2 linked regions of the Macaca fascicularis genome follow. The protein of the gene in region 1 interacts with the protein of each later gene in a pairwise test. Links are inferred from orthologs where the notes say so. Each region holds a gene or a part of one and is shown on either strand. Other genes may lie near its edges.

Evidence for each region. The genes of interacting proteins can lie anywhere in the genome.
Region 2: the proteins of FLACC1 (region 1) and SULT2B1 interact in binary tests that used the Homo sapiens proteins (3 or more experiments, as listed by UniProt). The two-hybrid records come from large-scale screens. The link is inferred for Macaca fascicularis from reciprocal best matches to the Homo sapiens genes FLACC1 and SULT2B1.

What each region holds. Positions count from the first base shown.
Region 1 is NC_088386.1:97,118,731-97,123,900, reverse strand, and holds part of FLACC1 (flagellum-associated coiled-coil domain-containing protein 1), read left to right. Parts: intron 1-509; 5' UTR 510-556; coding exon 557-669; intron 670-1,177; coding exon 1,178-1,249; intron 1,250-3,646; coding exon 3,647-3,695; intron 3,696-5,143; coding exon 5,144-5,170.
Region 2 is NC_088393.1:56,586,412-56,591,581, forward strand, and holds part of SULT2B1 (sulfotransferase 2B1), read left to right. Parts: intron 1-3,318; coding exon 3,319-3,499; intron 3,500-5,170. UniProt on the Homo sapiens protein: Sulfotransferase that utilizes 3'-phospho-5'-adenylyl sulfate (PAPS) as sulfonate donor to catalyze the sulfate conjugation. Responsible for the sulfation of cholesterol.

The DNA.
Region 1 (5,170 bases):
ATTTTTATCTTATTTTTTGCGAGGAAGTCTCACTCTCCACCCAGGCTGGAGTGCAGTGGCACAGTCTTGGCTCACTGCAACCTCTGCCTCCCAGGTTCAAGCAATCCTCCCACCTCAGCCTCCTGAGTGGCTGGGATTATAGGTGTGTACCACCATGCCCAGCTAATTTTTGTATTATTAGTAGAGACGGGGTTTCACCATGTTGGCCAGGCTGGTCTCAAACTCCTGACCTCAAGTGATCCATCCACCTCGGCTCCCCAAAGTGCTGGGATTACAGGCATAAGCCACCGTGCCTGGCCAGTTATGGCAAAGTTTAAATTGCTTTCAAGTCAAGTCTACTGAGTTGAAAGGGATGAGCTGTTAACCTATAGCCAAGACCCTGCACCAGATCAACAGCTTCTGGAGTCTACCATTGTTCTTTGGGTCCTCCCTGGGTTCTTCCCAATTTGTCTGTATTTTTGCTTTGATTCTAAATGGTTTAACTTTCTGCTGTTGTTTTTCGATTTCAGCAAGAGCCTCCTGATCTAGCAGCCAAGACTGCCACTGACCTTTGGCCATGTACCCCAACCCTCTCATCTATTGCACCTGCTGGGACCCCTGGAACTTGGGACCACGGAAGCTAATCAAGACCCCTCAACTACCACACAAGAACTCCACAGGGAGGTCCAAGTAAGAATTATCTGGGATGGGGTAGGCACAGGGACCTTGGGATCCATTTGTAGCCTCATTTCTTTCACAAGATTTCTAAAACAGCAAGTGTGGTAGCAAAATCCCAGGTGGGCCAGAAAGCCTTGCTTTCTCCAGCTTCCCTGCCAGCTGGTTGGCTGCACCCTCATCTTGCCAGCCCTGCCTGGGATTTTTGCCATTTTAAATGAGGAAGTCTCAGTGTTGGTGCAAAGGCAAAGTACGGCTTCCAACCAAAGGGCCTTGATGGCAGCTGCCCCCTCCATGTGGGATAAAGAGCTTTGGGAACTGGGGGACAAACTCTTCCTGGGACAGTGAACAACTGCTAGGGCCTTGGGCCTGAGTTTTAAAGGCCTCAGATTTTAAAGATTCCAGCTGTCAGAACATGCATTCCAATTTTGGGTCACTATAGGGATGTACTTAATCTGGGAGTGTTAAAAAGGGTTTCCAAATTTCCAACTTTTTTGTTTTAATTATTGTTTTTCACTTTCAGGCTAACTCCTCTTCTACCAGCTCCAAAAAATCACAATTACCTCCAACCAACAAAACCTGTTGTTTCCCCAAAGTAAGTATTGTTTTGTTTTGTTTTCTGTTTTTGAGATGGAGTCTCACTCTGTTGCCCAGGCTGGAGTGCAGTGGCGCAACCTCGGTGGCTCACTGCAACCTCCACTTCCCAGTCTCAAGAGATTCTCCTGCCTCAGTGTCTCGACTAGCTGGGACTACAGGTGTGCGAGTCACCATGCCCAGCTACTTTTTTGTATTTTAATAGAGACGGGGTTTCACCACGCTGCCTAGGGTGGTCTTGAACTCCTGAACTCAAGCAATCCACCCGCCTCGGCCTCCCAAAGTATTGGGATTACAGGCGTGAGCCACTGCTCCCAGCAGTTTGTTTGTTTGAGATGGAGTCTTGCTGTGTCACCCAGGCTGGACCACAGTGGTGCCATCTTGGCTCAATCCAACCTCCACCTCCCTGGTTCAAACGATTCTCCTGCCTTAGCCTCCTGAGTAGCTGGGATTACAGGCACCCATCACCATGCCCAGGTAATTTTTGTATTTGTGGTAACAACGGGGTTTCACTGTGTTGGCCAGGCTGGTCTTGAACTCCTGACCTTAAGTGATCAGCCCTCCTCGACCTTCAAATTGCTGGGATTACAGTCGTGAGCCACTGCTCCTGGCCTTAAGTATTTGTATGTCCGTGAGGCAGAAATGGTTTAAGGCATGTGAATAAAATAATCTCCCTCCCACCTGGCCTGACTTGAACTAATTGATGCCAGGGATGTTAGAGAATTGCCAGAATCCACCTTGATTTCTCGCAAACCTCAGATCCTACATGTAGATTTTGGGGTCCTCTGCATCCACAGCTTCCAAAGTCATTGCATCATTTGATTCAAAGTCACTGTATCAACTGCTCTCCACAGGGGTGCCCTCAATAGCTCTTTTCTGCCCTCGAGCCCAAAGCTTGATACGCCCTTTTGTCACAGAGCCTTGACCCTCCCATGCATTTAGGGTGGTGACCCACTCTTTAGCTGATTACTTTCCTGTGTCTAAGATTTTCTGTGGGTTGCATCTTGGTTTTAATCACAAATTAAAAATTTTACTCACATTTTACAAGCTTAGAAATGTATCTTAGTTTTAGGTCTTTGTATGAATCTTTGTATTCCATTAATTTTTGGAAAATATTTATTGAACACCTATTATTTATTAGGCACTGTTTCAGGTGCTGGGAAAACAGCCAGAAACACAATAAAGTCTCCACTCTCCTGGCACTTATCTTCTAGTGAGGGAGGGGAAGAGGACCATAAACTAGTTATTACATCTGAGGTTGGCAAGTGCTACACAGAAAAACAATGCAGGCAAAGTGGGAGGGGCTGTGAGGGTGGGGATACTTTATGTAGGGAGGTCGGGCGAGTCCCTGTGTAAAGGGGACAGAAGGAGCCTTGATGATTCCTGGGGCAAGCACTCTTGGCAGAGGGACCAGCAAGTCCAAAGGTCCTGGGGTGGGAACTTGCTTGGCATGTCTGACCTCTTCCAGGAAGGCAGAGGCCAGTGTGGCATGAGCGGAGCAAGTGAGCAGGGAGTGGTGGGAGATGAGCTCAAAGCAGATAATGAGGTGATGGGTGTGGTGGGCAGGACAGTGACCCCCTCCCAAGGACGTCTACACCCTAACACCCAGAGACTGCAAATATGTTGCCAAAGAGGAATTAAGGCTGCAGATGGAATTAAGGTTGCTAATCAGCTGACCTTGAGTTGGAGAGATTATCCTGGATTATCCCAGACCCCATGTAATCACAAAGGTCCTTCTTTGTACGTGAAAGAGGAGGTCAGAGTGTCAGAGTCAGAGAAGGAGCTGTGACAACAGAAGCAGAGGTCAGAGCGATGCAATTGCTGCTGGCTTTGGAGATGGAGGGAAAGGTCACTGTGAACATATACACATATATGGTATTCATTTTTTATATAGTATATATAAAGATTTGAATGAAAAACAAGTTTAACTTCAACGTTTGTATCTTAATGGGATTCATTTCATTATCTGGAACATTTGTTTATATAGAATGTTTCATTCTCCAATAAAGAGAGTTCCTTACAGTTCCCTGAACTGAGTGTGTGTGTGCCCGTGTGTGTGTAAAAGGGGGGCGAGGGGTGTCACCTGACTCACAGAGCCTTGACTCAGGGAGAATATGTAAGGGTCCCTCTAGCTGGTTTATGCTCCTCCAAAACAGAAGTTGCCCAACATCATAGGACAACTCTTTTGCCTCCTTGGGCAGGACCTTTTCATGAGCGCTCCCACTTTGGGGCCCTCAGGAGCCCGGCTTCAGTGAGTTCCCCAACTATCCTAGGGATCCCCTAAGAAGGTCAGGTCAGAGAGCAGAAGTCAGATGGTGGCGGCCTCAGGGTTCAGCTCCTAAGCTTTGAACTTCTCTTTGCTGTCTGGTTGCTTTCTGAGCATGTCTTTCTCTTGCAGAAAGAAAATCCATGCAGCAAGGCAAGAAGAGAGCAATAAATCATTTTATGTGAGTAAAGGCAGGAAGAGGGTGGTGGGACTAAAATGTATTGAGCGCCTACCATGTGCAAGCGTGGGCCTTTTACATTTTTATACTTACCTTGTTGAATCTTCACAAAGATCCTGGGAGGAGGTGCTGTTATTATTGCATATTGTGCATGGCAGGTAAGTGTAAGAACCACGACTTGAACTCAGCTCAGCCAGATTCCAGAGTGGGCATTTAATTGCCACTCTCTCCTGCTTGCACAAGGCAAACAGAGTGTCCCAGGGAAACCGGACATGACAGCTAGTCCAGGCCAGTGAACAGCTCATGCCCAGATGCAGGAAGCCCTCTGCTGACCTTGGGAAGTCACGAATGCTGGGGAGAGGCAGCCGGGACCCCTCAGGGGAGCAGGGGCGGGAGGGCACTAGAGAAGGTGATGGGAACCAAACTCTAAGGATCTTGGTGCCTACCTGGGAATGTGGGCCTGACCCTTCTGGTGTCTGGGAGCCTTTACTGGTCTTACACAGGCACAGGACCAAGTAAGAGTTATATTTCAGAAGAAGCAGTCTCTGGTGGGATATAATTGATACATTTTACTGTATTCTGTGTTTATCTAGTTTTTGTTTGTTTGTTTGTTTGTTTGTTTTTAAATACCATGCAGTCCTTTAATGGTTAGGGAAAAAATGTACAAGCAAAAATATAATTGCCCTCTAGGTGGAGAGGATGAACTGTTGGGGAGCAAGAGTGAAGGCAGAGAAGTCAGAGTCCAAGAGAAAGATGGTGGTGGCCTGGGGCTGTCAGGCAGGGGTGTGGAGAGAGGAGGGTGATTCAGAGAGACATGAAGGGGTGACAACGGCAGGGCTCAAGGGGCTGCAGCGTGTGCTGTGCAGCTCTCAGAGCCCCAGGGCTTGCCCTGGTCCAGGCCAGCGGAGGCCCTGCCCAGGTTTCTGACTTGGCATCTAATGGGAGAAGGAGGAGGAAATGACATTTTGTTTGCAACGATCCTAGTCATTTTCTCATATGTTGTTTTGTTTTTCCCTCACAAAAGCCATTTGAGAAGGAGTTATTAACCCCACTTTCTGATGAGAAAACTGAGGCACAGAGATGCTGGATGGCTATTGTCTGGTGGCAGAGCCAAGATTTACTCAGGCCTCTGTGATTCCAAAACCTGAGCAGTTGCCGCATGCCCACCTCCAGCCACAAGGGTGAACACAAGTGGCAGGGCAGGGGCATCAATGGCTTGGTGTGGCACAGAGCTTGAGAGGCCCCTAGGGACACCCAGGAGCCTACTAAGCGTCAGGTTTGAGTCTCAGAGATGTGAGGATGAGCTACAATGGGTGAAGGGCCCACAAGGGCGTGGGCTCTGGAGTCCCAGGTCCCTGTTTTTAAGATGTGAGTGAGGCAATAGGAGAAGATTTGGAGAAATCTCAGCACTCCAAGTCTGCCATTTTATCCTACTTTCCCTTGATGCCTAGGAAGTGATCAACGTGTCACCTGGCTAT
Region 2 (5,170 bases), on another chromosome or scaffold:
GAAGACAAGGAATGGGCAGGGGCGAGATTTAACACAGGAGGGTTGGCCGGATGCAGTGGCTCACACCTGTAATCCCAATGCTTTGAGAACCTGAGGCGGGCGGACCCCTTGAGCCCAAGAGGTTGAGGCCACCATGAGCTATGATGGTGCCACTGTACAGCCTGGGCAACACCTCAAAATCCTGTCTCAAAAGAGAGAGAGAGGGCCAGGTGTGGTAGCTCACACCTGTAATCCCAGCACTTTGGGAGCCCAAAGCAGGTGGATCACTTGAGGTTAGGAGTTCGAGACCAGCCTGGCCAACATGGTGAAACCACATCTCTACTAAAAATACAAAAATTAGCTGGGCACAGTGGCACATGCCTGTAGTCCCGGCTACTCAGGAGGCTGAGGCAGGAGAATGACTTGAACCCAGAAGGCGGAGGTTGTGGTGAGCTGAGATCGCACCACTGCACTCCAGCCTGGGCGACAGAGCAAGACCTTGTTCCAAAAAATAGAAAGAAAAAAGATTGAACCACATGAAATGTCTGTATTCAACCAGTCTTTATTTATTTGTATTTATTTAATTTAATTAATGTATTCAGTTTTGAGACAGAGTTTCGCTCTTGTTGCCCCGCCAACCAGTGTTTATCTTAAGACGGTAATTTTCGCTGGACATGGTGGCTCACGCCTGTAATCCCAGCACTTTGGGAGGCCAAGGTGGGCAGATCACCTGAGCTCAGGAGTTCGAGACCAGCCTGGCCAACATGGTGAAACCCTATCTCTACTAAAAATACAAAAAAATTAGCCGGCCATGGTGCGGGCACCTGTAGTCCCAGCTACTCGGGAGGCTGAGGCAGGAGAATCGCTTGAACCCGGGAGCTGGAGGTTGCAGTGAGCCGAGATCACACCATTGCACTCTAGCTGGGTTATAGAGCAAGACTCTGTCTCCAGAAAAAAAAAAAAAAAAAAGGTAATTTTATACGGTTTTCCCAAATGTTGTTATTATCCCTATTTTATCGACGAGGAAACTGGAGGTTTGTAATTTCAGAGAGGGTTGATAACTTGCCCAAGGCATATGGCTCTTGCCTGCAGACTCCGTGGTTATTTTTTTCCACCCTGGTAACTTTCTTTTAATGGAAAGCTCCAGAAAAGGTGTTGGTACTACTCCTCCCCCTCTTTTCCAGCAAGCTTTCTTCTCCAAACCCAGAACTGGGCCACAGAGCCTAACAGCTTCTGGGCTGCTCCTGGGTGTGAGGTGCCGCCCACATGTTAAAATTTCTGGGACACGTCAGTGGTTCAAGAAGATAAAGAGATGGAAGGTTATGAAACCAGGAATGACCTGGAAAATAGGAGCCGTGGGGTTGGCGGAGCTGACCAGAGGGCTGACCGTGCTGGGCGCTACGTATCAAAAGGCAGCGATGGCCGGGCGCAGTGGCTCATGCCTGTAATCCCAGCACTTTGGGAGGCCGAGGCAGCTGGATCACTTGAGGTCAGGAGTTTGAGATCAACCTGGCCAACGTGGTGAAACCCTGTCTCTACTAAAAATACAAAAATTAGCCGGGCATGGTGGCACATGCCTATAATCCCAGCTACTTTGGAGGCTGAGGCAGGAGAATCACTGGAACCCAGGAGGTGGAGGTTGCAGTGAGCTGAGATAGCACCACTGCACTCCAGCCTGGGCGACAAAGAGAGACACAGTCTCGTAATCCCAGCACTTTGGGAGGCCGAGGTTGGCAGATCACCTGAGCTCGGGAGTTTGAGACTACCCTGACCAACATGGAGAAACCCTGTCTCTACTAAAAATACAGAATTAGCCAGGCGTGGTGGTGCACGCCTGCAATCCCAGCTACTCGAGAGGCTGAGGCAGGAGAATCACTGGAACCCAGGAGGTGGAGGTTGCGGTGATCCGAGATTGCACCATTGCACTCCAGACTGGACAAAAAGGGTGAAACTCCGTCTAAAAAAAAAAAGCAGAGGGGCAAAGGGGAGGACTAAGGGCTCCGGGAACCTGAGCTCCTCTCTGGCTGTGTGACCTTGGACAAGTGTCTCTCCCTCTCTGGGCCTCTCTTTACCAATTGAGATAATGACATTTCCCTTGCAAAGCTGATGGTGGGATCGGCACAAATGTATGGGGGGCTTGGATCAGAGCTTGGTACATACTAGACACTCAGTAAGGAAGGTGATATTTGAGCTGCAGCCATGGCAGTGGCCCTTCTGGAAGCCCCGTGCCAAGGCCTGGAGGGAGGAATGTGTAGGGAATGGTGAGTCCCAGAAGGAGAGGGTGGGACAGGTATTGGAAGAGCTGAGACCAGACCACATCTGCTCTTTTTTTTTTTTTTTTTTTTTTTTTGAGATGGAGTCTCGCTCTGCCACCCAGGCTGGAGTACAGTGGTGAAATCTCAGCTCACTGCAACCTCCACCTCCCAGTTCAAATGATTCTCCTGCCTCAGCCTCCCGAGCACCTGGATTACAGGTGCTCGCCACCATGCCCGGCTAACTTTTGTATTGTTAGTAAAGACAGGGTTTCACCATGTTGGCCAGACTGGTCTCCAACTCCCGACCTCAAGTGATCCGCCCGTCTCAGCCTCCCAAAGTGCTAGGATTACAGGCGTGAGCCACTGCACCCGCCCCACTTCTGTGCTTGAAAGCTGGGTCTGGGTCTGGGTCTGGGTCTGGGACTCTGTCCCAGGGCACTCGGGAGCCACAGAAGAGTTGGGAGCCAGTGAGGAGCAGGGTCAGTTTGGGTGTGGGGGATGAGCTGGAGGGGGATGAAGACTGGAGGCAGGGAGGTTATGGAGCAGCAGGCTGGGGCATGGGTCCAGGAAGGAGAGGATGAGGCCTGAGCAGTGCTAGGCTACAAGGGCACAGAGGAGGGGACATGGCAAGGGGAGGCAGGTGGGAAGGGACAGGTCTGATGACGGGACAGAGTTTGGGGGTGAAGGGTACCCAGAGAGGGAGGCCAGGCTCCTAGGTGGATGGGATCCTGCACTGGGAGCTGGGGGAGGAGCAGGTTTGAGATGTAGACCAGCCAATGCCTGTCTCTAACCAAAGGAAGGTGATTCCGGATAAGGGGATGCTCTGACCTCTGACCCTGCTGTGACCTCTGCCCCAAGCCCACCTATTCCCTCCCACCTAGAGAACCGTCCAAAGACAGAAACTGCAAAAACCCTTAGAGGCAATATAGCCCAACCCCTCAGCTTGGAGCTGGGGAAACTGAGGCAAAGAGGCAGCGTCCCTCAGGCAGCCCTGGGTTAGGACCCAGACGTGCAGACCCCAGGTTCCATGCTCCTTCCTTGGCCAAGTGCCCTCCCTCTGCTGACCCGTCTCCCCTGCCGGCAGGACTTACAGGGCTCCGTGCAGCGCATCTGCGGGTTCCTGGGCCGTCCGCTGGGCAAGGAGGCACTGGGCTCCGTCGTGGCACACTCGACCTTCGGCGCCATGAAGGCCAACACCATGTCCAACTACACACTGCTGCCTCCCAGCCTGCTGGACCACCGTCGCGGGGCCTTCCTCCGGAAAGGTGCGGGGGCTTTGGGGTTCGGAGCCCACTAGGCCACTGCCTGGCTGTGTGACCTGGGAGAGTTACTTAACCTCTCTGGGCCTCAGTTTCTCACCCAGCTGTAACATTGGGTGAACAGGGTCACTGTGGCCCCAGGGTTGATCACGCACAGGGCTTAGCACTGGCTTGGCACACGTGCCAGCCACCCGAGGCGTCCCCACCCAGAGAACTCCCAATGAGAGCAAAACGTCCAGGAGTACTGCCAACACCAGGTCTGCCCGAGAGAGGAGATCTAGAATCTTCACAAATCCTCCTCCACGGCCATGTTCACGGCAGAAATACTCAAACTTTGGGTTATGGGGTGCAGGCGGCAGCGCAGTTGTTTCCTCTTCCTGATGTAACGAACACCGCAAACTCCATGGCTCAAAACGACACACGTTTACTCTTTTTTTTTTTTTTTTTTTTGAGACGGAGTCTCACTCTGTTGCCCAGGCGGGCTGGAGGTTGCAGTGGCGCGATCTCGGCTCACTGCGACCTCCGCCTCCCCGGTTCAAGCGATTCTCCTTCCTCAGCCTCCTTGAGTAGCTGGGACTACAGGCACCCGAAACCACATCTGGTTAATTTTTATATTTTTAGTAGAGACGGGGTTTCACCATGTTGGTCAGGATGGTCTCAATCTCCTGACCTTGTGATCCACCCGTCTCAGCCTCCCAATGTGCTGGGATTACAAGTGTGAGCCACCACGCCCGGCTTTTTTTTTCTTTTCTTTTTTTTTTTTTTGAGATGGAGTCTCGCTCTGTCCCCAAGGCTGGAGTGCAGTGGCTCAATCTCAGCTCACTGCAACCTCCACCTCCCGGGTTCAAGCGATTCTCCTGCCTCAGCCTCCTGAGCAGCTGGGATTATAGGCATGCGCCACCACACCTGGCTAATTTTTGTATTTTTAGTAGAGAGGGGGTTTCACCATGTTGGCCAGGCTGCTCTTGAACTCCTGACCTCGAGTGATCTGCCCGCCTCAGCTTCCCAAAGTGCTGGGATTACAGGTGTGAGCCACGGTGCCCGGCCCCTGTTTTTTTAAATATGTTTTTAATAAGGACAGGGGTCTTGCTATATTGCCCAGGCTGGTCTCAAAGTCCTAGGCTCAAGCAATCCTCCTGCCTCAGCCTCCCAAAGTGCTGAGATTACAGGTGTGAGCCACCGCGCCTGGCTGCATGTACTTTTTTTTTTTTTTTTTTTTTTTTTTTGAGACGGAGTCTCGCTCTGTCGCCCAGGCTGGAGTGCAGTGGCCGGGTCTCAGCTCACTGCAAGCTCCGCCTCCCGGGTTCACGCCATTCTCCTGCCTCAGCCTCCGGAGTAGCTGGGACTACAGGCGCCCGCCACCTCGCCCAGCTAGTTTTTTGTATTTTTAGTAGAGACGGGGTTTCACCATGTTAGCCAGGATGGTCTCGATCTCCTGACCTTGTGATCCGCCCGTCTCGGCCTCCCAAAGTGCTGGGATTACAGGCTTGAGCCACCGCGCCCGGCCGCATGTACTTTCTTAACATTTCTGGAGGTCAGGAGTTGGGCTAAGGTCTGTCTCCCTGGGCTAAGCTCAAGGTGTTAAAAAGGACATATTTCTTCTGAAGGCTCTAGGGGAGAATCTCTTGCCTCACCTTCTCAGTTGTTGACCCACCTGCATTCCGAGGCTCATGGCCT